Macaca mulatta: one gene and its partners. The protein of the gene in region 2 binds, or shares a complex with, the protein of the main gene of each other region. Links are inferred from orthologs where the notes say so. Each region holds a gene or a part of one and is shown on either strand. Other genes may lie near its edges.

Region 1 (4,362 bases), on a different chromosome or scaffold from region 2:
ACTTGAGTGCAGTGGCACGATCTCGGCCGACTGCAACCTCTGCCTCCTGGGTTCAAACGATTCTCTTGCCTCAGGTGTCCGCCACCACGCCCAGCTAATTTTGTAATTTTAGTGGAGATAGGGTTTCTCCCTGTTGGTCAGGCTGATCTCGAACTCCCAACCTCAGGTGATCCACCCACCTCGACCTCCCAAAGTGCTGGGATTACAGGCGTGAGCCACCGCGCCCGGCCTAAATTTTGTATGTTTAGTAGAGATGGGGGTTTCCCCATATTGGCCACGCTGGTCTCGAACTCCTGAACTTGTGATCCACCCGCCTCGGCTTCCCAAAGTTTGGGGATTACAGGCGTGAGGCACCGCACCCTGCCCAAGCCCGGCTAATTTTTAAAATATTTTTAGTAGTGACGAGGTTTCATCATATTGGCCAGGCTGGTCTTGAACACCTGACCTCCAGTGATCCGCCCATCTCGGGCTGCCGAAGTGCTGGGATTAGAGGCTTGAGCCACCTCAAGCCTCTAATCCTTCAGGAGCATCGATTTTGTCCCCGTGCCTCTTTTTTTTTTTTTTTTTTTTTTTTGAGACGGAGTCTCGCTCTGTCGCCCAGGCTGGAGTGCAGTGGCACAATCTCGGCTCACTGCAAGCTCCGCCTCCCGGGTTCACGCCATTCTCCGGCCTCAGCCTCCCGAGTAGCTGGGACTACAGGCGCCCGCCACTGCGCCCGGCTAATTTTTTATATTTTTAGTAGAGACGGGGTTTCACCATGGTCTCGATCTCCTGACCTTGTGATCCGCCCGCCTCAGCCTTCCAAAGTGCTGGGATTACAGGCGTGAGCCACCGCGCCCGGCCTCCCCGTGCCTCTTGTGTGTGTTCTAGTGTGGGAGTGACGGCGACTGCTTTCCAGCACAAGCCCATTTGACTGGGTTTGGACAAGTGGCTGCTACGACACTAAGGTGGAGATAAGGATGGAGCGAGGACTCCCAGAGTTGGGAAAGCTTGCAGGCTTACTGGGACCTCAGTCCGGCACAAGTTCCCACCCAGGTGCCGCCGCCCCAGCCTACGCACGCGCAGTCGCACCGTCTCTGGCCAAGGGTTCCTCCTGCCCCGCCCGCCCTCTCCGGGGGCCTTCTCTCCGCTCGGCACCAGGGTGTCCGCGGCGCCGCCTGATCCCGTTAGCGCGGTACTGTGAGTGCAGTCCGTCCTCGGCGCTGTTTTCCCTGACTTGCTGTCGACGCCAGGAAGGAAGGACGCGCGCAGAGGACCGCAGAGGGGTGGCCGTGGCTGAGGGAAGAGAGCGCCGCAGCACTGAAGGTTTGGGCTTGCAGGCGCTGCAGGAGGCGCCCAGGCGGGGTCCTGTCTCTCAGCCAGCTCTGAGCGGGAGGCCTGAGCCGGAAGCATTGACGTCCCGGCGACTTCCCAGAGCCTGGGGTTCGGCGCTATGGAGGAGCTCGATGGCGAGCCAGCAGTCACTGTAAGGGCACCCCGAACAGGCTTGATCGTCCTTGTGGGTTGAGAACTGCGTCTGCTTCGTTACTTCAGGCTTGTCTGCTTCCCTACTGGCTGCGAGGCTCTCGTCCCCTTCCCTTGATTCAGTTGCCACTTTCCGGAGGTCGCAGTGTTAACTAGGTGCCCGACCTCGGGTCGTAGTGGTCGCGGGGTTTCTGCCACCAGTCACAAAGCCAGGCCTCGAAGGTCCCAGTCCGTCCCTTTCCTTCTTTTGTCTTGCTGACCTTTCTACTTCCCTCGCATTTCCTCTTGGGTATTAGAGTGGGTTCAGCCCAAGCAGAGGAATTTATGTTTTTCTTCCAGCCATATTAAGCTCTGCATCGCGGCACGTTGAGTTCTGCTTGTGTGACCTAAGGTTTATTAAACGTATTATCTCAGGAGACTATTCATATTTTATCGCTGTGCATTCAATTCCATTTGAACTTTGAAGAGAGTATGTCAACTGTGGATGATCTGTGATGTGTATAAAAAAAATTCATGGACTTTATGTGCGACATACCTACCGTTTCTGCTACTTGGAATGCTTTTGTTTTCCCTCTTTCTCTTGTTAACCGCTGACTGAGGCAGGTCTCAACCGATGAAGGTTTATTTAGCTAAGGTTGAGGATCCAACCGGGAAAAAACACAGGTCCCAGGAGGATCTGAGACTTGTGCTTTTTCCAGAGATGGTTTTGGGAACATCAGTAGTTAAAGAGGAAGGAACTAGCAGGAGGGGCAAAAAAGGGAGGTTAGGCAGTGAAGAGGCAAATGGTTACATTCTTGTGAGTCTCTGATTAGCCTCAGTAAATCTGCATTTTACCTGTGAAAAGAGGGAGTAGAGGAAAAATTTATGTATGCATTCATCTCAGGGTAGGTAGAGGGATGGTTTCATTTCTTTTTTTTTTTTTTTCTGAGACGGAGTCTCGCTCTGTTGCCCAGGCTGGAGTGCAGTGGCGCCCCTCTGGGCTCACTGCAAGCTCGGCCTCCTGGGTTCACACCATTCTCCTGCCTCAGCCTCCCCCAGTAGTTGGGACTACAGGCGCCCACCACCACGCCCGGCTAATTTTGTTTTGTATTTTTAGTAGAGACGGGATTTCACCGTGTTAGCCAGGATGGTCTGGATCTCCTGACCTCGTGATTTGCCCACCTCGGCCTCCCAAAGTGCTGGGATTACAAGTGTGAGCCACTGCGGCTGGCCTCTTTCTTTTTTTGAGACGGAGTCTCACTTTGTCACCAAGGGTGGAGTGCAGTGGCGCCATCTCAGCTCACTGCAACCTCTGGCTCCCAGGTTCAAGCGATTCTTCTACCTCACCCTCCTGAGTAGCTGAGATTACAGGTGCGTGCCACCACACCCAGCTAATTTTTATATTTTTGGTAGAGATGGGGTTTCACCATCTTGGTCAGGCTGGTCTTGAACTCCTGACCTCGTGATCCGCCTACCTCAGCCTCCCAAAGTGTTGGGATTACAGGCGTGAGCCACCACACCTGGCTAGGAGTTCGAGACCAGCCTGGCCAACATGGCGAAACCCCGTCTCTACTAAAAAAAATACAAAAATTAACCTAGCGTGGTGGCGCATGCCTGTAATCCCACCTACTCAAGAAGCTGAGGCAGGAGAATCGCTTGAACACAGGAGGCAGAGGTTGCAGTGAGCGGAGATCGTGAGATCGCGTCACTGCACTCCAGCCTGGGCAACAAGAGTTCGAACTCCTGGCCGGGCGCGGTGGCTCAAGCCTGTAATCCCAGCACTTTGGGAGGCCGAGACGGGCGGATCACAAGGTCAGGAGATCGAGACCATCCTGGCTAACACGGCGAAACCCCGTCTCTACTAAAAACACAAAAAATTAGCCGGGCGAGGTGGCGGCGCCTGTGGTCCCAGCTACTCGGGAGGCTGAGGCAGGAGAATGGCGGGAACCCGGGAGGCGGAGCTTGCAGTGAGCTGAGATCTGGCCACTGCACTCCAGCCTGGGCGACAGAGCGAGACTCCGTCTCAAAAAAAAAAAAAAAAAAAAAAAAAGAGTTCGAACTCCTGACCTCAGATGATCTGCCCACCTCAGCCTCCCAAAGTGCTGGGATTACAGGTGGGAGCCACTGTGCCCAGCACAAAATGAATTTTTCTTACTAGTGTTATAAGAAAATGTTATTGAAGGATACAATGTTATTACAGGACCAGCTGTGCTCTTCACTTAAAGTGTTTTTCAGCCAGGCCGGCATGGTGGAAAGTGTTTTTCAGCCAGGCGGGCACGGTGGCTCACGCCTGTAGTCCTAGCACTTTGGGAGGCTGAGGCGGGTGGATCACCTGAGCTCGGGAGTTTGTAACCAGCCTGGGCAATATGGTGAAACTCCATTTCTACTAAAAATGAAAAAAAAAAAAAAGCCGGGTATGGTTGCACACATCTATAGTCCCAGCTACTCAGGAGGTTGAGGCAGTAGAAGACCTTGAACCCAGGAGGCGGAGATTGGAGTGAGCTGAGATTGTGCCACTGTACACCAGGCTGGGAGACAGAGTGAGTCGTTGTCTCAAAAAAAAAAAAAAAAAAAAAGAATAGAACGACTTCAGTAAGAAGAACATTCTTCATTTTAGATTTCTATGTCTTATTTTACTAGGTGATTCCAGGTGTGAATTCCAAGAAGAACCAAATGTGTTTTGACTGGGGTCCAGGGGAGATGCTGGTGTGTGAAACCTCCTTCAGCAAAAAAGGTAGGGGTTTTTTTTGTTCCAAATTGTCCATCTTGGTACATCTGGTTGTTTTTCTGTTTATTACCTCAGATTTGACTAGTTGTGGACTGAAACAATTGAATTTGTTTTGTACCATTTTAATTTTCTTTATTTTGTTTTCAAGATACAACAGGGTTTTGTTGTGTCACCCAGGCTGGAGTACAGTG
Region 2 (3,829 bases):
TAGTGAGCTGAGATTATGCCACCACACTCCATCCTGGGGGACACAGCAAGACTCTGTCTTGCAAAACAACAACAAAAAAACACCCCCCAAAAAACGGAGGGGGGAGTAGTAAAGCAAAAGCTTTAGTAACCTAAAAGGCAGTACCTTTACCAGAGGTTTAGCCTTTGAGGCAAAATAAAAAGGAAGAAAGTGGAGTTTATGAATGAATAGACCTAAGAATCTGACTTTTGGCATTTTCCTTCCTATTACATGTTGGTGTCCTGGTGAGCATAACCTTTTTTAAATGATTCATAATCATTCTAAGTTCATAGAAGATCAATCCCAAAGATAAATTCTCACTGTAGAAATGCAGAAAGACCATAAAAGTACCAGACTGAGGCTGGATGTGGTGGCTCATGCCTCTAATCCCAGCACTTTGGGAGGCTGAGGAAGGAGGCCAGGAGTTTGAGACCAGCCTGGTCAACAAATAGACCCCATCTCTATTTAAAAAATAAAAGAAAAAAAAAGAAAGCTACGAGGTTAAATGTGTAGTGATAGTGGAATGCAACAAGCCCTTTATATAGCTTACTGATTCTGGCTTTTCCTGTGATTTGTTCTTTATAATCCCAAAACTAGCCAAACCCTTCAAAATAAATCCAGTCAATGGCTCCAATTAGTTGGCTTTGGATAAATGAGGTTCCAACAATCAAGGTTTGAATAACGATCTAATCATATTAGATTAAGCTGAGCTATGCCATCCTGTATTCTTATCAAGACTTATGGCCAGACACAGTGGCTCACACCTGTAATCCCAGCAGTAGGAAGGCCAAAGTGGGTAGCTCACTGGAAGTCAGGAGTTTGAGACCAGCCTGGCCAACATGGTGAAACCGTGTCTCTACCAAAAAAAACAAAAAACAAAAAACAAAAAACTAGCCGGGCACGATGGCAGGCACCTGTAATCCCAGCTACTCAAGAGGCTGAGGCAGAAGAATTGCTTGAACCCAGGAGATGGAGGTTGCAGTGAGCTGAGATCATTCCACTGCACTCCCCTACACTCCAGCAGCCTGGGTGACACAGAGACAGATTCTGTCTTTAAAAAAAGAAAAAAGAAAAAAGAAAAAAAAAAAAAAAGATTTATATCTAGGCAGTCATTAAGCACCTGCTGAATTGCCTCATTAGTGAAACGGAACTTTAAAAAGTAAATATATGCATACAAATTCCTTTTAAAAAGCCAGTGAGTACCTCAATCCAGAAATTCAACTTCTATGTATTTATTTGAATGAAGTGAATTGATACAGAACATATTTTATAGCAATTCAGAGTAATGCTTATAGTTGATTTTGATTTATAGCTTATCTATGCTTTCCAGTTTTATTACAAATGTAATGTAACATAAAATTTAAATTTTAATCAAGTAAACAATGTTTAAGGTCCTAAAAAAAAAGAATTAGAAGACACAGTTTGGCTGGGCACAGTGGCTCACACCTGTAATTCCAGCCCTTTGGAAGGCAAACGTGGGTGGATCACCTGAGGTCAGGAGTTTGAGACCAGCCTGACCAACATGGTGAAACCCTGTCTCTACTAAAATACAAAAATTAGCCAGGTGTGATAGCAGGCACCTGTAATCTCAGTTACTTGGGAGGCTGAGGCAGAAGAATCACCTGAACCCGGGAGGAGGAGGTTGCAGTGAGCCGAGATGGCACCATTGTACTCTAGCATGGGCAACAAGAAACTCTCTCAAAAAAAAAAAAAAAAAAAAACAAACAAACAAAAAAAAACCCCAAACCCGTCATGGTTCCTATTCTACAGGAATAGGTGGGTGTGATCCACCCCACTTGGCCTACCACAGTGCTGGAATTACAGGCATGAGCCACTGTGCGCACCTGAAGTATGTCTTCTAATTCTCTGTTTAGGACCTTAAACATTGTTTACTTGATTAACATTTAAATTTTATGTTACATTACATATTCCACAGGAACCAGCAATCTTCCTGGGAAGTCCACAATTAACACTCACAGACTAGCAGTCAAAGGGAAATGCACAGTCGGGGGGACAGGAAGGAGGTAATGAGTAGGAAGGCGACAGGGGCGCAGAGAAGGACCATAATCCTTCCCCACCTGACTGCTGGGCCAGAGAGCAGGCCTCACTGATCCTTTTGCCTGTAAGGTAGCTGAATACAGCTTCCACAGGGCTGCTTTTATGGGTTAAGGAGACTTCCTCTTCAATCTGAGGTGTGGCAGTACAGGATAGCCAGCGGGAGAAAGCTCTTCTTCGCTCTAGAATTTGAATGTATTCACAGGGTTCATTTAGCTGGCTGTCAAGCTCCTTCAGGTGGCCCCATAGGGCTTCACATAGTGTCCATGTCAGGCTCCAGTGCTTCACAACTAAGGCAGGAAGAGAAAAACAATGTTATGAGACAAAGCCTTACAACAACTTCACAGAGGGCATCCTTCTAACTGTGATGTTAAAAATACATAAATTAATAAACATCTCGAACAACCACTCAAGTTGATTACCCTGAATCTGTCTCTACCTCACTCAGCTTCATCTTATAATTTCCAGAAGTATATGGTATAAATAAATGCTTGCTCACATCATGTTTCTGTGGTACTTACGTAACAAATGTAACCGTTAAACAGGTTCCCCAAGCCTAATTATGGCTAATGTCATCTCAGATGATGTCTACTTTGATCAAATTCTATCTACAAAAATCAATCTACAAAAGCACTGTTTATCATTTAAGCCACTTACAAGTATGCACTGGTAAAATAACTTACACATTTGAAAAGACAATGAGACAATTAAGTAAATACAAAGAACTGAAGGAACATAAATCCCAAAATGTGTGGCACAGGACATTCTAAAACAGCCCATTTTCAATAAAGGTGATGTGCAAAACAAAATGATTTTTCTACTGTTTGAAATATTAACAGAATGATTTTTCTATTGTTTGAAATATTAACAAATTAGAGAACCCCTTTATCAAAGTATTGATTCAGAAAAACATGGTCATGATAGGGGAGAACGGTAATCATGAGAGAAGCCAAGAAGAGGAAATACAACAAAGTTGTTGAGAAGACCAATAGTACTGGAGCTGGACATGGAAGAATGGACAGGATTTAGAAAAGCAAGAAGGGGCCGGGCGCTCACGCCTGTAATCCCAGCACTTTGGGAGGCCGAGGCGGGCAGATCATGAGGTCAAGAGATGGAGACAATCCTGGCCAACATGGTGAAACCTCATCTCTACTGAGAAAACAAAAATCAGCTGGGCGTGGTGGCGCGTGCCTGTTGTCCCAGCTACAGTGACAGAGTGAGACTCTGTCTCAAACAAAAAAAAAGAAAAGAAAAGAAAAACAAGAAGGACTGTATCTCTCTCCCTATGTTCTCTGGATTGGGTAAGAAACGCAATTTTATAAATCCAAGGATTTGACTGGCTACAATTCTTTGTGGAAGAATTTGTACATTAATGGGTAAAAGAACAAAGTGACAAGAATATAGTGACAATTTCTTCTTGCTTGGGAATCTGCTTAAACTCAGCCTCAGAAAATGACAAGCACAGGCATTTACCTACTAGACTGGTATCAAGAACTCCCGTGTACACTACCACCCCTATTACTGGGACATCAAAGATTAAAAACATAATGTATACTCACTTTGTGCTTCTGGTAAGTCTCCTGATGTTTCTTTAACCCAATCTGCATAGTCATGAATGACAGCAACTCCCGGATTGGGGACAATGAGAGGGCACAGTTCATCCACATGGACAGTGCTGTGTTTTAATTTGAGCTCCAGAGGTGTCTGATATAATTTCATGTCTTCATCTGGCTTCCTTTGTCTCAAACTGAGTTTT
Region 3 (4,467 bases), on a different chromosome or scaffold from region 2:
AATAGAGGCTGGTCTTTTTCATGATGCGCAGGAACTCTTGCTCACTGACCTCTCCATCTCCATCTCGATCAGCTTCATCAATCATTTCCTATATGACAGTAAAGATTCAGGTTAGATTAATTTATAAACTAATGCCAAAAGGTGACTAAGTAATATGACTCTTTTTAGAGACGGGGTCTCTATGCTGCCCACACTACTCTCAAATTATTGGCCCCAAGCGATCCTCCTGCCTCAGCCTCCTAAAGTACTGGGATTACATGCATGAGCCACTGTGCCTGGCAAGCAATAGACTTTTAATAACACTATGTGAATAGATAATTGTAGTCCACCCAATGCCAGTATGCCACTCCTGATAATAGCTTGGTTCCTGAAAACTTATTTGAAAACCAACTCATACTTTGTCAAACATTATCACCTGGGAGGGAGCTTGAAGATTACCTTGACTAGAGGGATTCCTGGAATGTAAAATAGTAGGCAAAACTGTGCCTATGTGCATTTTTCTGGAAGCAGCGTTCATAGGTTTGTCTGACTATTAAAGGAGAATTCAGTTGTCCACAGAGGGACAAAGTACACTGGCTTTCCTTCAAAGAAGTGCTCACACTAGGGAAAATGTAACAGAAAAGTCACAGAGGGCCCAAAGGTGGGAATCTTAAGTTCCAGTGTGATGCATTACAAACCTGCAGCTCCTCATCAGTCAGGTTCTCACCCAACTCCTTGGCCACGCGTTTCAGATTTTTGAACGAAATCTTCCCAGTTTCATCATCATCAAAGAGCTTGAAAGCTTTCAGGATTTCTTCTTTGGTATCTTTCTCAGACTTACCAAATAGAACATGAAACACATGAGTAGGGGGACACCATGGTTACTCATGTCCTGTAGCCCTGCCACTGCCCGGTCAGGTCACCCTTTCCTTTTTAACAATGTAACTCGAGTCTAGACTTGCAGCAAGTGTCAGGAAGCCCATTTTGGCCTCAGAGAAACACCAGTCAAGCCAGGCACTCCATCCAAGGTGACGTTTGCTCCCTATCCCTATATCTCTCCCTATCCCATATCTATTTCCTAACTGGTTTAGAATTCTGTGGGAAGAGGTATCTGCTTGGAAGTCTTGAGAAAGAAGTACAAGGGCTTGTTTTGGGAGCCCAAGGTAACATGATGGGAGGGCAGGCCTCCTGATGCAGCTGCTACCTGGACTGCTCTGTGGTCACATGACTGTTTTAACAGGCAGATGCCATGGGCCTCTGCAGATGACTGGGGCGCCATACCATGCAAATTGTCTTAGCTACTCACCATTTTCTGGGTCATCACAGTTAAAAAGTCACCAAAGTTCATTTTTCCTGTCCCTTCTTTGTCAATTTCACTTATCATTTTCTTAATTTCTTCTTTCTTAGGTTCAAAGCCCAGGGCCCTCATTGCCACCTATAATGAAAACAGGATTGTCTCAATAAGCACATCTGAACTAGCAGCAGCAAAAACAACAGTGTTGAGAGCATTAAGCCAGCATCTGATGTGGTCATGTTAATATGATTGGGGAACACTATAACATTGATCTAATTGACATTTGCAATCAATTTTATTTAATAATACTCTAAGTAAAGACAGGAAAACAGAGCACAGTACAACCTCCCCTGTTACTTATTGCAGGGAGAAGAGGGCAAAAGGGGTAGAGAGGTGATAGGGAGATGACAAGGAAGAGGCAGAGGAAAGGAAGGGCAGTACGGCAGGAATGCATAGAGCTTGCCTTAAGTTCTTTAACATCTATGGTGCCAGTTCCATCCGCATCGAAAAGATCAAAAGCTTCCCGGATCTCCTGCTTCTGCTCTTCAGTAAGCTCAGGCTTAGGACTCATTCTTTTTCTCTGGGAACTTGATGCCATGTTTGTCTTCTTAAAGTTGGAGGCCTTCATACGTTATGCAATACACAAGCACAATAATATATCGTACAGTCCATATTTACATAACATAGTTACAGACACCCATATGTAGTTTTAAATAATTTTATGGCAACCAATTCCAAAGCTTTGCTTAACAAGAAAGATAACAGGGTTTACTGGCAAGAACAATGAATCTTTCCATGAACTTCTATCCCTCCCTTTTCTTTACTGTCGTTTCTAGAAGCAGGGAGATCACTTGTTCAGTAAGGATACCTCTTACTGAAAATCATCCCAAAAGAGAGCTAGTCAAGAAAATGACTGCGAATAAGTAGAGATAATCAGCTCTTCCCGAATGTGGGGATCCTGGTTCTGGAAACTGCCTTACAATGCCCACTCCCAGTACTCCGCTTCCCAGTAAGCACTCTGACTTCCCAATTACTTCTAGATTTGGCCAAATATTAGCAAGTTGTTAAGATGTATATTGTGTCAGTATCGAGTAATAAAACTCAATCCATCTGACACCTTCGTGCCTTCTCCAAGAAGCTACAGCATCCCCTGAATGCCCCTATATTTAAATTGTAAAAAACACTTTAATAGAACACAATACACCTTCTCCCAGCTCTGTGTGGAAATTTTGGCAGAATGAGGCGGCCAGGGGGCCAAGGTCTGAGAAAGTCAGGGGCCTGTGAGGGATTCGAGTCTTTTTTGCCCAGGGAGGTTCACCGAGGTGATCAGGGAAGGCCAGGGGAGCCCGAGGGGCGGGTGTGGGCCTGTTGTGGGTGAAGGGGAGGCAGCAGCAAAGCGCAGGCCCAGTAGGTTGGTTAGCGTCTGTACCCTACTCTTCCGGGAAAGAGCTCAAAGGAAGGACTGGTGCGTCAAAGCCGAGAAAGGCGCAGGAGAGGCGGCGTGGCCGAGCTGGGGCCTGGGAAGGGCTCAGCCTCTGGGCGTGGGGCGCGACAGAGCGGCAGCACTCACCATAGCCAAAGGAGTCCACGGCCGGTTGTTAGGCAACCGACGTGTACACTGATTCGGCGCCGCTCCCACCGCCCCGCGCGCACAGCCCCGCTCCCCATTGGGCGTCCGCTCGCCGCCGCCGCTCCCTACTGGTGCAGGGCCGAAGAGGGTGGGACTAACCTGGCAAAGCCCAGGCCCAGCGCGGGGAGGGGCACGCTGGGGACAGAGACCTGTCTTTATTGGGCAAGATCAAGCCGTGAGCGCCAATTGGCTGAGCCGACGCCGAGCTGGGCCAATCCTCTTGGTAGAAGAAGCTCGGCTGATTCTCGGCTCACGCGGGAGGGGAGTAAAGGGTGGCGTTCCGGGGCTGGAGTTCGGTGGGTGCAGCCTGCTTGCGAGCTGAGGCCAGCCAGTGGGGCACCTGCGGACGGGTAAGAGTCGTGGCCTTGCCCTTGGAGGCCACCCTGTGTCAGCGACTGGGCGGGGCGGGAGGGTGAGGAGCTGCGGGGCCGCCCGGGTCGGGTGCTTTCTGTGCTGACCTAAGGCTGAGTTAGGGACCGAGTGCATCAGAGCAGCCAGAGACGATTGACCTTGCGTGTTGGAGCAGGGACTGTACTCACGGGGCAACTGAGACCCGGAGAGGGGAAGGGGTCTGCTGAGCGTTGTGGCAGAGGTCGGACGGCTGGGACCTAGGAACTGAATCCAGCCGAGGCTCGCTCTTTGAGGGTGGCCCTTCGAGAGCACCCCCAGACTGACCCAGATGTGTAGGCCCCAGACCAGGTTCCAAGAGAGGATCACTTCAGGTCTTACCTGGCTAAAAACAGCCCAGGACGGTGAACTGGGGGCTTTGGGAACGGACTTTGAAAGGAGTGAAGGGGATGTGAGCAAGCAAGAGGGGCGGGGAGAGGTCATCAAAATATACTCTTTTTGACACCCACACAGTGCAGATAAGGAGGAGCATTCCAGGCCGAGACGCCCTCATCAGCAGAGTCACAGGAGTTTTGGAAGTGAGAGGTATGCTTGGAGAATTAAAAGGGAGCGTGTGCAAGGGCTGTGTGGACTGAGACAGACCTGCAGAAGTGGAGCTGGAGGTCCAGTTTGCCCTCTTTAGCTGTCTACGTGGCTTTTAGCCTTCACCTGATTTTCCTCCAGGCACTGGGGCAGTAATCTAGGGAAGTAGAGGGCAGAAAGTAAGTTTTTCAGGCAGAGAAAGGCCTGAGGCTTATTAGAACCTTTTAAATGGAGCTTCTGCCCTTTGCCCTCTTCAGCAGTGAACAGACTCCTAATTTTTGGGTCATCATCATCCCCCCAAGTAGTACGAGCCAGAGTTCTCATCATGGTCTCCAAAGCTTGGCACGACGTGTCCCCTCCCATCACTCCACAACTCTTCTCTCAGCCCCAGAACACTGGCTTTGTGGTTGAACCTCATGTGCCAGCCACACTACTGCCTCTCATCTTTGTCCCAGTTGTCCTCTCTGTCTGCCTCCTCTTAAGCACCCTATTTAAGTACTGCAGCCCCCAATACAAACAGGCCACTCACCTTGCTCTGCTTTTTTTTCTGCTTTTTTTTCCAATAGTCCTTATCACCTTCTGACCTACTGTATATTTTGCTTGTTTATTTTGCTCTTTGTTGTCCCTCCGCTAG
Region 4 (2,655 bases), on a different chromosome or scaffold from region 2:
AAACCCCAAGCAATGCTCCTCAGGTCAGGTGGTTACTGTTTCTGCTCCTTTATGCTGTTTATGCTGTTTTTCCCTTAGTCAGGGGCAGCAAGCCAAAAAAAGCATGCTGACATCTGGTTAGCATTAGGCTTAGACTGGCCAGCAGAGTGGATGCCAATACATAATTTGAATTTGAATGTCAGGAGGTACAGGTGCACATGCTACTTCTCCACAGTCCCTACCACTCCCCACTCTCTCAAAGTCAGTGGGCTGTTTCCACTGGATCTGCATGGCCCTACCAGAGTCCTTGGGAGTGTCTACAAGGGCAGGCCCTGGTGTACTACTTTAATCTCTGATGCAATGAAGGATGTATTCAAGGAAAGGCTAGAAATAACAAAGGAGCAAGTGGCTAAGGGTAGAAACCACAGCAGGTATAAAGGGAAAGTCAGCAAGGGGTAAGACCTTCTGAACTGTGTGTACCACAGTAGTCAACATCCCTCTTCATGTGCAGAACTGGCCTTACTTCTTTCTCTAAAACAGAAACTTTTTTTTTTTTTTTGAGACAAAGTCTCCCTCAATCGCCCAGGCTGGAGTGAAGTGGCGCAATCTCAGCTCACTGCAACCTCTGCCTCCTGGGTTCAAGCGATTCTCATGCCTCCGCCTCCTGAATAGCTGGGACTACAGGCATGCGCCATCATGCCTGGCTAATTGTTATATTTTTTAGTAGAGACGGGATTTTACCAAGTTGGCCAGGCTGGTCTCCAACTCCTGACCTCAGCTGATCCATCTGCCTCAGCCTCCCAAAATGTTGGGATTATAGGCGTGAGCCATCGCACCTGGCCAGAGACATTTTATAAAAGGCATCTGCTCAATGAGGAATAATTTTAAACTGAAAAACCACTAGTGACATCCCAGAGCCAGGCAGTTGGTTCTAGCATAGTGTTGAGAGCTGAGTTGAGTGTTTGTAGTTCTAGAGATGAATTTACCTGGGCCACACACTGGAATGACTCAGGGAGGTCTGGGCTGCAGCAGTCAGGGAAACCAGAATCTCTGGGGTCTGGGCATGAGAGTTCTTAGAAACTCTCCTAGAGATGCCAGTATGCAGCCCAGCTGAGCACCCTGGGCTAGATGTTGGCAATATGCTAGAAACCCGACAGACAGACAGTGGCTCTGGGGCTTATGGGGTGATAGTCACAGTCACTGAATTTGCTTCTTTAGACAAAACAGATCAGGGAGGGCAAAGGTGGCAGTGCATCATGATGTGTTTCATGTACCCAATGGAACTACTTAAAGATGATCAGAGTTAAGCACCAAAATACCCTCTAGTACAAGTGGATAATAGAAGAATTAAACCAGACTTCACAGGATCAACCAGAAACCTGTTTCTCCCAAGAACATGTCAATCACTGAAATGACTGTATTTTCTCAATCAGGAATTCAGACAATAATCTGATGGGGATGTATGCACTTACAGAAAAGCCAGGCCAAGGTATTTGAAAGGGAACCACTCTGGAAAACTCAGTCTGGATAGTTACTGTAACTAGAACTCTTAAAGCTGTTAGGTACAGGAAAAGAAAAAGCTTTTGGTGGAAGTGGGGAAAAAGGAATTCCATAACTCAGGAAGAAGGAACTTACTTCATCACTGAAATTTCTGAAGGCAGCCACTCTCTCTTCCACACTTTCCTGATTCAGGGGCACCAGCTTCAAGCGCTCAATTATCTGTTTAAAACAACCACCAGCCCCATGTAAGACAATCATCACAGTCATTTCATCTCTCTACATGTAAAGTCAGCACCCTCACATACTCCAAAGGGCTTCTTCATAGAAAACACCATTCTCCCTTGTGTACACAGAAAGGCTTTGATTCTAACTAGCTAACTTAATTCTTATCCTCATTTTCTGACACATTTTTTAAAATTCAGAGATTTCAAATTACTTTGAGAAATGTATCTGTTTTCAGATTAAAGGGGAAAGGAATAGGGGGAAAAAATAAAGCAACACAGGAAATCCTTTTAAGTCCCAGGACTGTACTTGTCCTTCTTCATTTAACAAACATACTGGCAACAGCTCCTTTGTTTTAAGTAAATTCCATGCAGTGTTTTGAATTTTCAAGGGTGTACATTAACCTGCACTTCAAACACCTTTCCTGAAACTTACATCAAAAGCTCTATCAATATGACCACTATGATACTCGTCAAAAAAGGTGATCAAGTCCAAAAGAAGATAGAACGTGGAGTCCACAAATTTATTTGCACTTATTCCTTGAGCCCTATACCTGAAAGACAAAAACGGGGTGGGGGGAGTGAGAGTGTATCAGGAATTTCTGTGTAATCCATAACTGTGGAATAGCATTTAAAAAGACAGTGGGGTATGGTTCATGTGGCTCATGCCTGTAATCTCAGCTACATGGGAGGCTGGGGCGGAATGACTGCTTGAGGCCAGGAGTCAGAGACCGGCCAGGAGTGAGAGACCAGACTGGACACACAGCGAGACCCCATCTCCACAAAATATTAAAATATTAGCCAGGTGTAGTGGTATGTGCCTGTAGTTCTATCTCCTCAGGAGGCTCAGGTGGGAGGATTGCTTGAGCCCAGGAGTTCGAGGTTACAGTGAGCTATGACTGCACCACTGCACTCCACTCCAGCCTAGGTGACAGAGGGAGACCCTGTCTCAACA
Region 5 (3,829 bases), on a different chromosome or scaffold from region 2:
AGTACAGGCTTTGTGCACTAATTTGCAATGTTGTCTTTATGACACACTACATTTCCTAAAATGCATATACTTGTTTCCTCTACCGTTATCACTAGACTGTTTTAATTATTCCAACTTTACACCATGGACTGATGATAGCAGAACAAAGCTGCCTGTGTGCCTGCCTTTTTTCCCAAAATTTCTTGTATAGTTTCCTTTCCATGTGAATTTTAGAGTAAGTTTAGCTTGTCAAGCTCTACAAAAATTCCCCTAAGAACTAAAATTATGGGAGGAGGAAGGGAATATCTTTGCCCAGCAACAAGTACGCCTTTTGTGTTCTTTTATTATTTGGCATGTTAAAAGTTCTGCTGCTTTTATAAAATACAAGTTAGAAATGTTAGAAAAAAACAAATGAGATATGCCGATTTGAAGAAAAACTTTTGATTTTTATATCATGATTCTGAATCCAGCCACCTTATTGAAGACTTTTTTCTAAACTATTCCAATAATCTCTCAGTTCCAATACTTCACACTATGCAGGGCTGGTCACAGTATGCTATCGGCATTAGTCTGACTTACAGAAAATGGAACACGTTGGCTCACTTTCAAGCTGGCTAATGGAAGAATGGTTAAGAGTGTCTACCACAGCCTGGTGTTTCACCATCAAATCTGATTAGACCCTATCATATTTCTGTTGCTTTCCAAATAATATGTAATTTTAGCTTTTATTTTATCTTTATATTTCTAAGTAAATATATGACAGACAAAAAACTGCTCATAGTTATTTGTTGAATTCCATATAAAAGTTAATTTTGAGTGTTTCCAATTTATTATCCAAAAGTATTCATGGATATTCAACTTTTGCACTTTTTGCACATCTAAAAACACCTGTATTTTGCCTCTGTGTTTGTTGTTGTTGTTGGGTTTTCTTGAGACAGAGGCTCGTTCTGTTGCCCAAGCTGGAGTGCAGTGGCCAATCTCAGCTCACTGCAACCTCTGCCTCCCAGGTTCAAGAAATTCTTGTGCTTCAGCCTCCTGACTAGTTGGGATTACAGGTGTGAGCTACGGCACCCGGACTGTCTTTATACTTAAACACATTTGGCTAGTAACAGAATTCTAGGTTCAAGAACATTTTCATTTTGAGGGTACTGTTCTGTTTTTAGCATGTGATGTTGCAAATTAGAAGATGATGCTAATCTGGTATCTTCCTATTTGTGGCAAATAGCTTTTCTCTCTGAAAGCATTTGGGGTTTTAGCTTTGGTGTCCTAAATTTCAGTGATCTTTGCCAATAGGTAATTTCCATTTTTAAGACCAATGTCTTTCTTTAGATCTAGAAAATTTTCTTCTGTCACTTCTTTGATATTCCCCCAAAACTTCTTATCTTCTAGGTCACTCCTGTTCCAGAGGAACTTGTGGATCTAACTTGGATCACTCTTTGTACTTGTGCACTAAGTTCAGGGAAATTCTAGTTCACTAATCTGATGATCAGCTATGTTCTTCCTGCTATTCCGCCCACAGAATGACTTTAATATGATCCACCAACAATGATGCTTTTAACCTTTAAGGTGCTGTGTCATTTTTTTTCCCCCAGGACTTCAGCTTTCAAAATCTCTTGGTTTCTCAGGATTAATTATATTTGTTGTCTATGTTTCTTAATGTCTGATGAGGACTGGTTATCTGTAACTATTTATAAATACCATAGATTATGGTAGAAAATACTTCATAAGCTAAGAATCCTTATTTTCCAGGTAGTAGATACCAATTCTGATTATAAAAGCCCAAACAGAAGAGAAAGACACACATAAATATGCACTATATTGAGCTTTGCATTACTGCCGTATTTCTCAAAATTAGATCCACAGATGACTTCATCAGAATCATGAGGGTTTTAAAGAGTGGTTCAAACTGAAAATCCTAGGTTCCTTCCCAAAGAGTTCTGTATTTCTCAACTACGTTCAGTGCAAACCATTACTTGACTTGCTGCATCTGTAAAGGCAACTTGTAAAAAAAATAATAAAGTTAATACTTACCAGCTGTAGTACTAGTTTGAGCTCCAAAGGCAAAAGTGGCTTTTGCTGGCTGTTCAGATTCCTTCTCAGATGGTTTTGTCATGCTAAAACTAAATGTGGACTTGGAAGAATTCTCATCTTTGGTTTGCTCTGAATTCCCAAAGGAAAACACTGGTTGACACTTTGGCTCTTCATTGTCAGCTTTCTTCCCAAAAACTAGGGAAGTAGAAGTGACAGGCTCTTGCTGTTTCTCTTCTGTCCTTCCCAAAACAAACACTGAGGCAGATGGCAGAGAGGCAGGCTCCACATTGCCAAAAGAGAATCCTCCTTTGGTGGCTGGCATTTCTTCTTTTTTAGCTTCTGATGTCTTACATGTGAAAGGAGCCACTGAAGCACTCTTGGTTTCTATGGTTCCAAAGTTGAAGCTGCTCTTGTTCTCAGAGGTCACTATGGTGTTAGCAGGAGCAGGAGTGGAGTTAATAACACCTGTACCAAAGCTAAAACCTGCAGATGAACATTTGGGCAGTTCCTCTTTCTTTTCTTCCTGTCCAAGATTAGACACCCCAAATTGAAATGGAGTTAAAGAAACTGGGTTGCTTAAACCAGAAGAAAGTCCAAACTTAAAATTATCATTCTTACTATCTTTTTTAACTTCTTCGGGCTTAGATTCAGATGATACTCCAAATTTAAAATCTCCTATTGGTTTAGAAAATTTAAAGCCTTCACTCATGGGGTTTACAGACCCAGAATCAGATGACACACCTATTTTGAATCCTCCCTGATCTCCAAATTTGAAATTTCCAGTGCTTGTTAAAGCCTGAGAAGGCCCAGAAGAGGGTGATGGGACACCAAATTTGAAGGATGAGGAGGCTGCTGAGTTCGAAGATGAGGAAGATGTGTCAAAGCCTGCAAAAATATAAAAGACACCACATAGACAATTAATGTACTGATGCTCTCAAACAAAATATAAACATCTTGAACGCCAAAGAAACATAGGAATAACTTTGAAAGGGTCTACTTTGAAGAGTATTACCAGCAGTCGTAAACATAATTCAAGGTGACCAATATTTATGTGGTATGAGAATTGTATCTCACTCCTCACAACTATCCTGACATGCCACTTTTCATTTATCAGACTGGCTGAGATAAAGTTTGATAAAGTTTATACTGGCAATGAGACTGGAAGTAACAGGCTACACATTGCAGGTGGGTGTATAAATGAGCACAAAACTCACAAGGAGCAATCTGTCACTAGTTACCAAAAATTACAAATGCATATATCCTTTGACAAGCAACTAACTGACCTTACAATAATTCAGAAACAGATATAAACATCTCAGGATAATCTCATTTTATATTAATTTTCAAGAGAGAATGAGTGAACACTGAAGCTGTTCTCAAATACTTCATTTTTAAATGGCCTTACAAAAAGGCGCTTTACCATCACCTTTATTTTTATTTTTTTGGCCTTACCTTTAAACCCAGATTTTGTGCCTGGCTTTGCACTTTCACATGCCAAACATTTGGTAGAGTCAGCCTTATTCTGCACTAGGCACACTTCACAGTCCCAGCTCCCCTCAGGCTTCTTGAACTTTTCCAATCCTAGAGAGCCTCCAGAAGGCAGAGAGATGGGTACAGTGCTGCTACTTGAAGTAGGTACTGAACTTCCTAAAAAAAAAAAAAAAAAAAAAAAAACAGGGAGTGGGGAGGGGCAGAATTCATGAAAATTTTAATTTATAATATGTCAGTATCTCAATGACACCCCTAAGTTTAAGTGTTGAATTTCTAATAATATTTCCTATTAAAACACAGAACGTGCCAGAAATACGAACAATTGTTC
Region 6 (3,829 bases), on a different chromosome or scaffold from region 2:
GTATGATATTCTTTAACTGGTTGTATTAATCAGGCTTTCTGGGTTCAAGTGATAGAAAGCCAACCTAAGTTACTTTATGCTTACAAGAGGAGAATTCATTGGCTCATGGAAGTGGTAAGTATAGAAGGTATAGCTGGCTTTCAGCAGGATCCAGGGACCCCAAAGATATCACTAGGATACTATCTGTTTCCAAGACCCATAGCTCTACCCTACTCTCTGTGCCTTCATTCCCAGGAAGCTACTCCCCATGTTGTATCAGAGATGGATATGAGACGCTCCAAGCTTACATCCTCCTGCCAGCTAGCAATCTCAGTAAAAGGAGTATATTTTCTTTCCCAGTATCTCCAGCAAGAGTCCTGATGGTGAATCTTGCTATAGCTCACATCCCTAAACTCAGAGTTCTGGAATGGGATCAGGCCTATCCAAAACATAGGAGCTAAGAATGGGGAAAAGGTGATTCCCTAAAGGGATGATGGAACAACAAACATGTATTTACCTTACTGGTATATAAACACATTTACTTACTGACTTACTGGTCAAGTTGAACATGCAATATTATCAGGGGAGTAAATGAGCAGTAACAGCCTTGTCATTAGAGACTGTTTTTGTAGTAGTTTTTCATAAATCAGAGGTCATCAACCTCTTTTAACCCCATTTGTTTCTAGCAGAATTAAATGCCAGTGGGTGCCGTGGGAACCTATTGTTAAGCCTAAAGTCAAATAGAAAAGGGATTTTTTAGAAATAAAAACAGGGCCAGGTATGGTGGCTCACACCTGTAATCCCAACACGTTGGGAGGTTGAGGTGGGGGGGATCCCTTCAGTCCAGAAGTTCGAGACCAGCCTGGGCAATATAATGAGACTCTGTCTCTGCAAAAAATTTTTAAAAAGAAAGAAAAATAAAGGCAGAAGCCACAGAAAGACATACATATGTTTTAAAAATAGAATACCATTATTTATTATTTATTTATTTATTTAATTTATTTTTTTTTTTGAGACAGGGTCTCACTCTGTCACCCAGGCTGGAGTGCAGTGGCGCAATCTTGGCTCACTGCAACCTCTGCCTCCTGGGTTCAAGTGATGCTCCTGCCTCAGCCTCCCAAGTAGCTGGGATTACAGGTGCCCGCCACTACGCCGGGCTAGTTTTTCTATTTTCAGTAGAGACGGGGTTTCACCATGTTGGCCAGGCTGACCTGGAACTCCTGACCTCAGGTGATGCACTTGCCTTGGCCTCCCAAAGTGTTGGGATTACAGGCGTGAGCCACCGCACCCAGCCAGAATGCCATTATTAACTGCCTACATCCATCCCTTGTAACATTTGTTCCATAAGTTATCTAAACTTGTCATATATTGGTTATACTTTACTCTAAAGTACCCTGGTTATTGTACTGACTGCTTTTTCTTGTTTCTTAAGGCACAACGACTCTGTAAACGCTGTGGTCAAGCATGGAGAGCTGCAACACTTGAAGGCTGGAAACTGTACCATGACCCTAATGTTAATGGAGGTATTTTAGTAGATTTTATATTGACAGTTGAGGACAAAGGCATTTCGCTCTAAATGCCAATCTTTGTGAACTATAGCTTCTCTTTTTAGAAAGGATTGTAATAAGGTTTCATTTTAAACCAGAAATTTTCTTTTACTGTTTTATAGGAACAGAATTAGAACCTGTTGAAGGGAATCCATATAGACGCATTTGGAAAATAAGTTGCTGGAGAATGGCAGAAGATGTAAGATAAATAAAATATTCAGTGATACTGTTTTTAACTCCAATTAATTGAAAGCCTATTCAGGGGCTATGAAACGTTGAAAGTAGTGTAAAACTGGTTTTCAAAGAACTTCCAATTAAATTGAGGAATAGGCTTAACAACTTATCAGAATTATTAAAACACTATGTACTAAGAATTAAGCATTGATATAAGGCAGAAATGTAAAGGAGGTACCAAATGAATTTAGAGAAAAAGTATTGGACTAAAGCTTAAAGCTGGCTTCCCTAAGGAAAGAATTGAATTGAACTTTTAAAACTTAGTAGGATTTGCGTTTTGGGGAATGAAAAACAAGAGGAAGGAATTCTAGGTAGGATACATAGATTGGGAAACTCAAAGTAAGGTAGGTCTACCAGGTTGGAGAAGAATGCTCATAAAGGAAATACTGTCAGTTCTGTTGTAACATGACATAGGTATTCAAAGTCACCACAATGTGCAGCATTGTACGAAAACCCCATAGGACTTAACAGGAAAATGGAGTTAAGACAAAAATACTCAAAAACTTCATTAGTGATACGTAAAATAATAAAAAGTTAATAAAAATGGTAGCACAGTTTTACATCTGTCAAACAGTTTAAAAAATACATAAATACTACAATAAATATGGCACTTTACCTTGAAAAAGGCCCAAAGTTTGCTTGTGGAATTGGCTGTCAGGGTGGTAGAAGCTTTAGCGCAGATAGCAGAAGTGTTTTTGAGAAGATCAGCCTGGCAATGGAAAAATATACTTAAAATTAGATGGACAAAAGGCTGAGAAAGTAGTTAGGAGCCTGTCAGAATTATTTGGACACTAAGTCATAAGGGTCTGACCTAGGATAGTATTGATGGGAATGGAAAGGAAGGAAGAGACACTGGTTAGGAGCAGTGATTAGAAACAGAAGGCAGAGGTGGACTCAGTTATGCAGTAAGAGTCTCTGAAGTCTCTTGTTTGGATGATAAGAAAACTGGAAATACCAAAAGTAAAATGGGGAATTAGTTCTACATAGAAATTAGATGCAAACTAATGCATGCCTTGTTTTGATGTTGTACATAGGTCAGTATCAGAGAGTATCAGGTCAATATCAGAGAGTATCAGGTATTGAGAAACATTCTAGGAGAAAATAATATATAGGTTGTTTCTGGAATAAAATTTGATTTTAAATATTCAAAGCATCCACTAGAGTTGGATTTGCTTTCACCCGATATTTGGCATTTAAATGTTTTACTTTTTTTCTCCAGATCTCAGCATTGATTATTTCATCACACTGAAGTTCTTCCTTGTTATTACCCCACTAGATCTTTCACTAAAGTTTAAAAACTATCAGGTGAATAGGTTCAGTCTAGAAGAGATTGCAAGACTCCACATTATGAGGAAAATTGACATACTAAGAAAAACAGTATTTCAAATTTGTTTATGTTCATTGTGTTTTAGGAGCTTTTTAATAGATACGAGAGAGCAATTTATGCAGCTTTAAGTGGGAATCTTAAGCAGGTATGCAATCTGTTTTAATGTTTAAATTTTTTCTGTGGAATAAAATTAAATAGATAAAATATTCTAACAATTGTATTTAACAAATATAAACTTAAGTGTATATACTTAAGTATGTATGTACATACTTAAGTGTAGCAATGATAGAGATAATCATGAATCAGATAGTGACTCGTTGTGCTTAATTTGATGTATCCCATAACATACATGGTGTTTTAATGAATGAAATCAGATTTCAGTTTTTAACTAAGAATTGTAAACTTAACTCCAACACACATTTATTGATGACTTAAAATACTCATAGCTGTATGCAGAAATGTGCCAGAAAGGCACAGTGAGTCCTTGGGTTGTCTTACATACGCATGTTTTTCTCACAACCCAATACTCCCCACATATTATAGCTATCTTTAGGGATACTACACTAATCAGTTGAAATGTCATATGAGCCTGGAAAACATGTTGTTGTTAACAGTATGAAAAAATCTGAACAGTTCAAACATCTTACAAGATGTAGTTGGCAGGGGAAAGCTTATTTGGCATAATTTTTTTTTAAATCCGCCATGTTTTATATCATTATAAAGTGATTTTATAGTCTGTATC
Region 7 (4,485 bases), on a different chromosome or scaffold from region 2:
GTCTCCCAAGTAGCTAGGATTACAGACACCTGCCATCATGCCAGGCTAATTTTTGTATTTTTGTAGAGACAGGGTTTCACCATGTTGGCCAGGCTGGTCTCGAACTCCTGACCTCAGTGATCTGCCTACTTCAGCCTCCCAAAGTGCTGGGATTACAGGCATGAGCCACCACACCCGACCAACCATAAGTCTTAGAACTCTACAATCTCTATATTTTTTCCTTACAACTCTAAGATGTTTGATTTTTTAAAACTAATTTAAAGGAAGCACATAACACAGAATGCAATCTCCACAAATTTTAAGTGTACAGTTCAGCAGTGTTAAGCATATTCACATTGTGCAACAGATCTTCAAAGCTTTTTTCATCTTGCAAAATAGAAACTCTATGCCCCCTAAACAACTCCCCATTTTCCCCTTTCCCAGCTCCTGGCAACCACCATTCTACTTTCTGTTTCTATGAGTTTGACTACTTCAGATACCTCATATAAGTGGAATCATGCAGTATTTGTGTCTTGTGACTGGCTTATTTCACTTAGTATGTCCTCAAGATTCATCCACATTGTTTTATGTGACAGGATTTCCTTCCTTTTTAAGGCTGCATAAAGATATTATGTATATGCATGTATACGTTATGTATATGCATATACATTATGTATATTGCATGTATATGACACATTTCCTTTACCCACTCAACCCGACATTCATTACTTGATGGAAAAAGAGTTCCTTCCCTACCACGTTTAGTTTTTTAAAAAAACCACCTCCTGACTCTTGGCTTTTAAAACTCTTGGTTTTACCGCTAACACGGTAAGACCCCGTCTCTACTAAAAATACAAAAAAAAATTAGCCCGGCGCGGTGGTGGGCGCCTGTAGTCCCAACCACTCCGGAGGCTGAGGCAGGACATTCCTTGAACCCGGGAGGCGGGGCTTGCAGTGTGTGGCGATCGCGCCACTGCACTCCAGCCTGGGCGACAGAGCGAGACTCCGTCTCAAAATAATAATAATAATAATAAGCCAGGCTAGCCAAGCATGGTGGCAGGCGCCTGTAATCCCAGTTACTTCGAAGGCTGAGGCAGGAGAATTGCTCGAACCCGGGAGGCTGAGGCTGCAGTGAGCCGAGATCATGCTACTGCACTCCAGCCTGGGTGACAGGGTGAGACTCCATCTCAAAAAGAGAAAAAAAAGAAAGGAAAATAAATGTATATACCCTGCGCGCTGGCTCACACCTGTAAACCTACCACTTTGGGAGGCAGAGGCAGAAGGATAGCGTGAGGACAGCAGTTCGAGATCAGCCTAGACAACATGGAGAAACCCTGCGTCTACTAAAAATACAAAAATTAGCCCAGCGTGGTGGCGCGTGCCTGTAATTCCAGCTACTCGGGAGGCTGAGGCAGGAGAATTGCTTGAACCTGGGAGGCAGAGGTTGCAGCGAGCCGGGTTCGCATCACTGCACTCCAGCCTGGGAGGCAGAGCAAGACCCCATCTCAAAAACAAAAAATTAAAAAATAAAATAAAATAGAGAAATTATATATAACCACACGTATAACACGCAACCCTTGCTTTTAAGCATATCTAATTGGGAAGGAAGGACAGCAATATTAAGCATGTAACTTCATTACTAACCTTCTAATATATGTCTAATATCATAAAATGAATTAGGTTGTGCTTAAGTAGTAGCACTAAGTAGTTTAAGCACCTAAGACTGGCTTAGAATCATTAGATGTTTAACTCTGGGGACATTACGTAACTATTTGAAGTCTCTATTTCCAAATCTGTAAAATAGTGTATTTAACAGCAACTACTCCAAAGGGCAACTGAATGAGATAAGCACAATAATAAGCGTAAAGCTGGGATATAGTATGTGCTCAGTAAGCATAGCTTTCATTATAATTTATCACAGCGTTTCTGAAATGATTTGATTTACAAAGCAGATTTAGACAACTTTTCGAGAATATCAGTCCTGTGGAAAATAGAACCAATACTTTAAAAAGTGACTGTAAAGAAACAGAAAATGCACCCAGGAAAGAGTCCTTTTAAGTGAGATTCTTACAAGCATTTACCACACAAATGTACTCTTAATCTTGCCCGCGAAGTTCTGAGCATCTCAACCGAGGCATTAACATTCTAAGCGCCAAATTCTTTCCCCGGACTGCTCTGCCCATGAAGGACTTTCTGCATCCTTGCTCCGCCTACTATGCGACAGCAGCGTACCCCAGGAAATATGACAATCAAAATGCACTCACTCATTCAGACACCACTGGAGGGCGGTACCGCCCGAACTGAGAATCACCAAAAGAGGATCCACCCCAAATCTTCCAGAATTCCTTTACTACCTTCTAGATTCAATTCCACCCCGAAAATCTACAGCTCCAAAGGTACAAGAACATCCAGGGCCTAACCACACCCGCAGAGTTAGGAGACGTCCGCTGAAGCCCCGCCACCCTCTTCCTGACCACCTTTCAGATGGCCGACTTCATCATCGGGAGTATTCGCCGCCTGCAAGATCTCCCACCCTCTAAGAACACCGGCGCCTACTTTCAGCCTCTGCTCGTGGCTGGAAAATATCTCGGGTCCTTTGGCTTCACTGCTGAAGACCTGTCGCTATTCCGGCGAAATCTGGACCACAGACGCACAGTGGAACTTGGGGGTAAGGGGGCCAGGCTTAGCCCTGGGCTGTGAGAGATTAAACACCTGGGTCCAGCGGCCCAAGCCTCACTACCTCGACTCTCAAACGCCAACTCAAGGGCTAGAGCCGCAGCACCGACGCGCGCCATTCAAACTGGGGAGGGGTGAGACTCTAGGCCCAGAATTAGGGAAAAGGAGGCACCGCACATAAGTTGGGTCCTAGACTCCGAGAAACCCCACGGTCTCGTCTCTCCCTGAAGACCTGGTCATCGCTCAGCTCAATCATCTCCTTTCTGTCTGGCCACACTTACCCGAATTTACCGCCAAAGGCGTCGCCATCTTAGAGGCGCACTAACAGAGCCCTTCTGCCGCATGGAGGCCCCAGGAAGGGGTGAGGCTGCCCTGAGTGAAGCCTGAACAAAAAGGCACCAGGCTGTCCCCTCCACGCTGGGCCGTCCCAGGTGTACAGAAGGCTCCAGAATCTGCTCTGGGTCACAAGTATCAATTTTCATTGGGATTATTCCCATTCAAATAAGGCGAGGGCAACCACTTCAGAGACACGAGGTCCTCGATCGGACGTTCATCGTGTAGTGCATCCTGGGACTTGTAGTTTCTTTCTAATGATGAATTGGTTAAGTGGAGAGGAAAAAGTAAAGTGGAATAGAAAAAGATATTCTGAGAGTAGTTATTAAAATGACGCCCACTTATGAGATTATAAAAGCCGTAAATTCAAATCATTAGCTCCGTTTCAAGTTAAATCTTCCTTACAGTGGGGAGTGGAGTAAGGTGTGAAGTGTCTACACCTCAAAAAGTCATTGACCAGTTAAAAACTAAGTTTCCGTGACATTTCAATTTACCAAGTATGTTGTGTCAACATAGTTGCGTAGAGCGAAACAAATCATAATTTTTAACTATAAAATTTTCAAATGGATACAAAATTAGCATAGTGAACAGGCAGCATCAATAACGTGGCCAATTTCCCACCACGGCAGCCCCAACCCACCCTTACCACCCCAGCACCTTATCCTCCCCACCCCCCGCCCCCGATTATTTTGAAACAAATTCCAGACATATCGTTTCATAATCACCAAGTATTTTTCTACCTGAGCAACCAAAGTAGCTGAACTCTCTTTCCTCAGTTGTTAAATTTTAGTTTACTGATTTTCAAACTAAAATATAATCATTGCTATTTACAGCTATGTATTAAGAATTTTACAGCCATTATTTCATTTAATCCCTGCAAACCATTCTATTGGGAAAATGATCTGATTATAGCTATGTCAGCGATGTTCTATGTGCCTTACAATCTCATTGTATCAACTCTCCATCATTCCCATTTCACTGTTGGAAATTAGAATCAAATAATTTAGACAAAAGCACAGAGTATGTTAACAATATCCAGAACTGGCTGGGTGCGATGGCTCATGCCTGTAATACCAGCACTTTGGGAGGCCAAGGTGGGCGGATCACTTAAGGTCAGGTGTTTGAGACCAGCCTGGGCAGCATGGTGAAACCCCGTCTCTACTAAAAATATAAAAATTAGCCAGGCGTGGCCGCACGCACCTGTAACCCCCAGCTGTTCGGTAGGCTGAGGCAGGAGAATCCCTTGAACCTCGGAGGTGGAGGTTGCAGTGAGCTGAGATCATACCACTGCACTCCAGCCTAGGCAACAGAGTGAGTGAGACTCCATTTCAAACAAACAAACAAAAAAGAATATCCAGAACAGAATATTTATTATTTTGGACAAATAATATCAAGTGACACAATGTACATTAAGTTTGAAACGCAAAAGTCACTGGTGATTTTTTTCCAGAAGTCATTGTTATATAGAGACAAATGCCAAACTACAATTAAAGTGGT

Evidence for each region.
Region 1: NUP98 (region 2) and NUP85 share a complex: the UniProt entries of both Homo sapiens proteins name them as parts of the nuclear pore complex. The link is inferred for Macaca mulatta from reciprocal best matches to the Homo sapiens genes NUP98 and NUP85.
Region 3: NUP98 (region 2) and centrin-2 share a complex: the UniProt entries of both Homo sapiens proteins name them as parts of the nuclear pore complex. The link is inferred for Macaca mulatta from reciprocal best matches to the Homo sapiens genes NUP98 and CETN2.
Region 4: NUP98 (region 2) and NUP93 share a complex: the UniProt entries of both Homo sapiens proteins name them as parts of the nuclear pore complex. The link is inferred for Macaca mulatta from reciprocal best matches to the Homo sapiens genes NUP98 and NUP93.
Region 5: NUP98 (region 2) and NUP153 share a complex: the UniProt entries of both Homo sapiens proteins name them as parts of the nuclear pore complex. The link is inferred for Macaca mulatta from reciprocal best matches to the Homo sapiens genes NUP98 and NUP153.
Region 6: NUP98 (region 2) and NUP107 share a complex: the UniProt entries of both Homo sapiens proteins name them as parts of the nuclear pore complex. The link is inferred for Macaca mulatta from reciprocal best matches to the Homo sapiens genes NUP98 and NUP107.
Region 7: NUP98 (region 2) and NUP205 share a complex: the UniProt entries of both Homo sapiens proteins name them as parts of the nuclear pore complex. The link is inferred for Macaca mulatta from reciprocal best matches to the Homo sapiens genes NUP98 and NUP205.

The regions. Positions count from the first base shown.
Region 1 is NC_133421.1:84,894,092-84,898,453, forward strand, and holds the start of NUP85 (nuclear pore complex protein Nup85), read left to right. Parts: upstream 1-1,390; 5' UTR 1,391-1,432; coding exon 1,433-1,465; intron 1,466-4,083; coding exon 4,084-4,177; intron 4,178-4,362. UniProt on the Homo sapiens protein: Essential component of the nuclear pore complex (NPC) that seems to be required for NPC assembly and maintenance. As part of the NPC Nup107-160 subcomplex plays a role in RNA export and in tethering NUP96/Nup98 and NUP153 to the nucleus.
Region 2 is NC_133419.1:72,106,923-72,110,751, reverse strand, and holds part of NUP98 (nuclear pore complex protein Nup98-Nup96), read right to left. Parts: coding exon 3,633-3,829; intron 2,364-3,632; coding exon 2,097-2,363; intron 1-2,096. UniProt on the Homo sapiens protein: Plays a role in the nuclear pore complex (NPC) assembly and/or maintenance. NUP98 and NUP96 are involved in the bidirectional transport across the NPC. May anchor NUP153 and TPR to the NPC.
Region 3 is NC_133426.1:159,105,936-159,110,402, forward strand, and holds the start of centrin-2, read right to left. Parts: upstream 2,871-4,467; 5' UTR 2,847-2,870; coding exon 2,844-2,846; exon of another isoform or gene 2,478-2,843; intron 1,896-2,477; coding exon 1,737-1,895; intron 1,415-1,736; coding exon 1,286-1,414; intron 816-1,285; coding exon 678-815; intron 89-677; coding exon 1-88. UniProt on the Homo sapiens protein: Plays a fundamental role in microtubule organizing center structure and function. Required for centriole duplication and correct spindle formation. Has a role in regulating cytokinesis and genome stability via cooperation with CALM1 and CCP110.
Region 4 is NC_133425.1:52,441,873-52,444,527, reverse strand, and holds part of NUP93 (nuclear pore complex protein Nup93), read right to left. Parts: intron 2,255-2,655; coding exon 2,137-2,254; intron 1,699-2,136; coding exon 1,615-1,698; intron 1-1,614. UniProt on the Homo sapiens protein: Plays a role in the nuclear pore complex (NPC) assembly and/or maintenance. May anchor nucleoporins, but not NUP153 and TPR, to the NPC. During renal development, regulates podocyte migration and proliferation through SMAD4 signaling.
Region 5 is NC_133409.1:165,434,501-165,438,329, reverse strand, and holds part of NUP153 (nuclear pore complex protein Nup153), read right to left. Parts: intron 3,658-3,829; coding exon 3,463-3,657; intron 2,896-3,462; coding exon 2,011-2,895; intron 1-2,010. UniProt on the Homo sapiens protein: Component of the nuclear pore complex (NPC), a complex required for the trafficking across the nuclear envelope. Functions as a scaffolding element in the nuclear phase of the NPC essential for normal nucleocytoplasmic transport of proteins and mRNAs.
Region 6 is NC_133416.1:75,841,350-75,845,178, forward strand, and holds part of NUP107 (nuclear pore complex protein Nup107), read left to right. Parts: intron 1-1,411; coding exon 1,412-1,502; intron 1,503-1,648; coding exon 1,649-1,725; intron 1,726-3,172; coding exon 3,173-3,232; intron 3,233-3,829. UniProt on the Homo sapiens protein: Plays a role in the nuclear pore complex (NPC) assembly and/or maintenance. Required for the assembly of peripheral proteins into the NPC. May anchor NUP62 to the NPC. Involved in nephrogenesis.
Region 7 is NC_133408.1:175,386,463-175,390,947, reverse strand, and holds the start of NUP205 (nuclear pore complex protein Nup205), read right to left. Parts: upstream 2,982-4,485; 5' UTR 2,965-2,981; coding exon 2,937-2,964; intron 1-2,936. UniProt on the Homo sapiens protein: Plays a role in the nuclear pore complex (NPC) assembly and/or maintenance. May anchor NUP62 and other nucleoporins, but not NUP153 and TPR, to the NPC.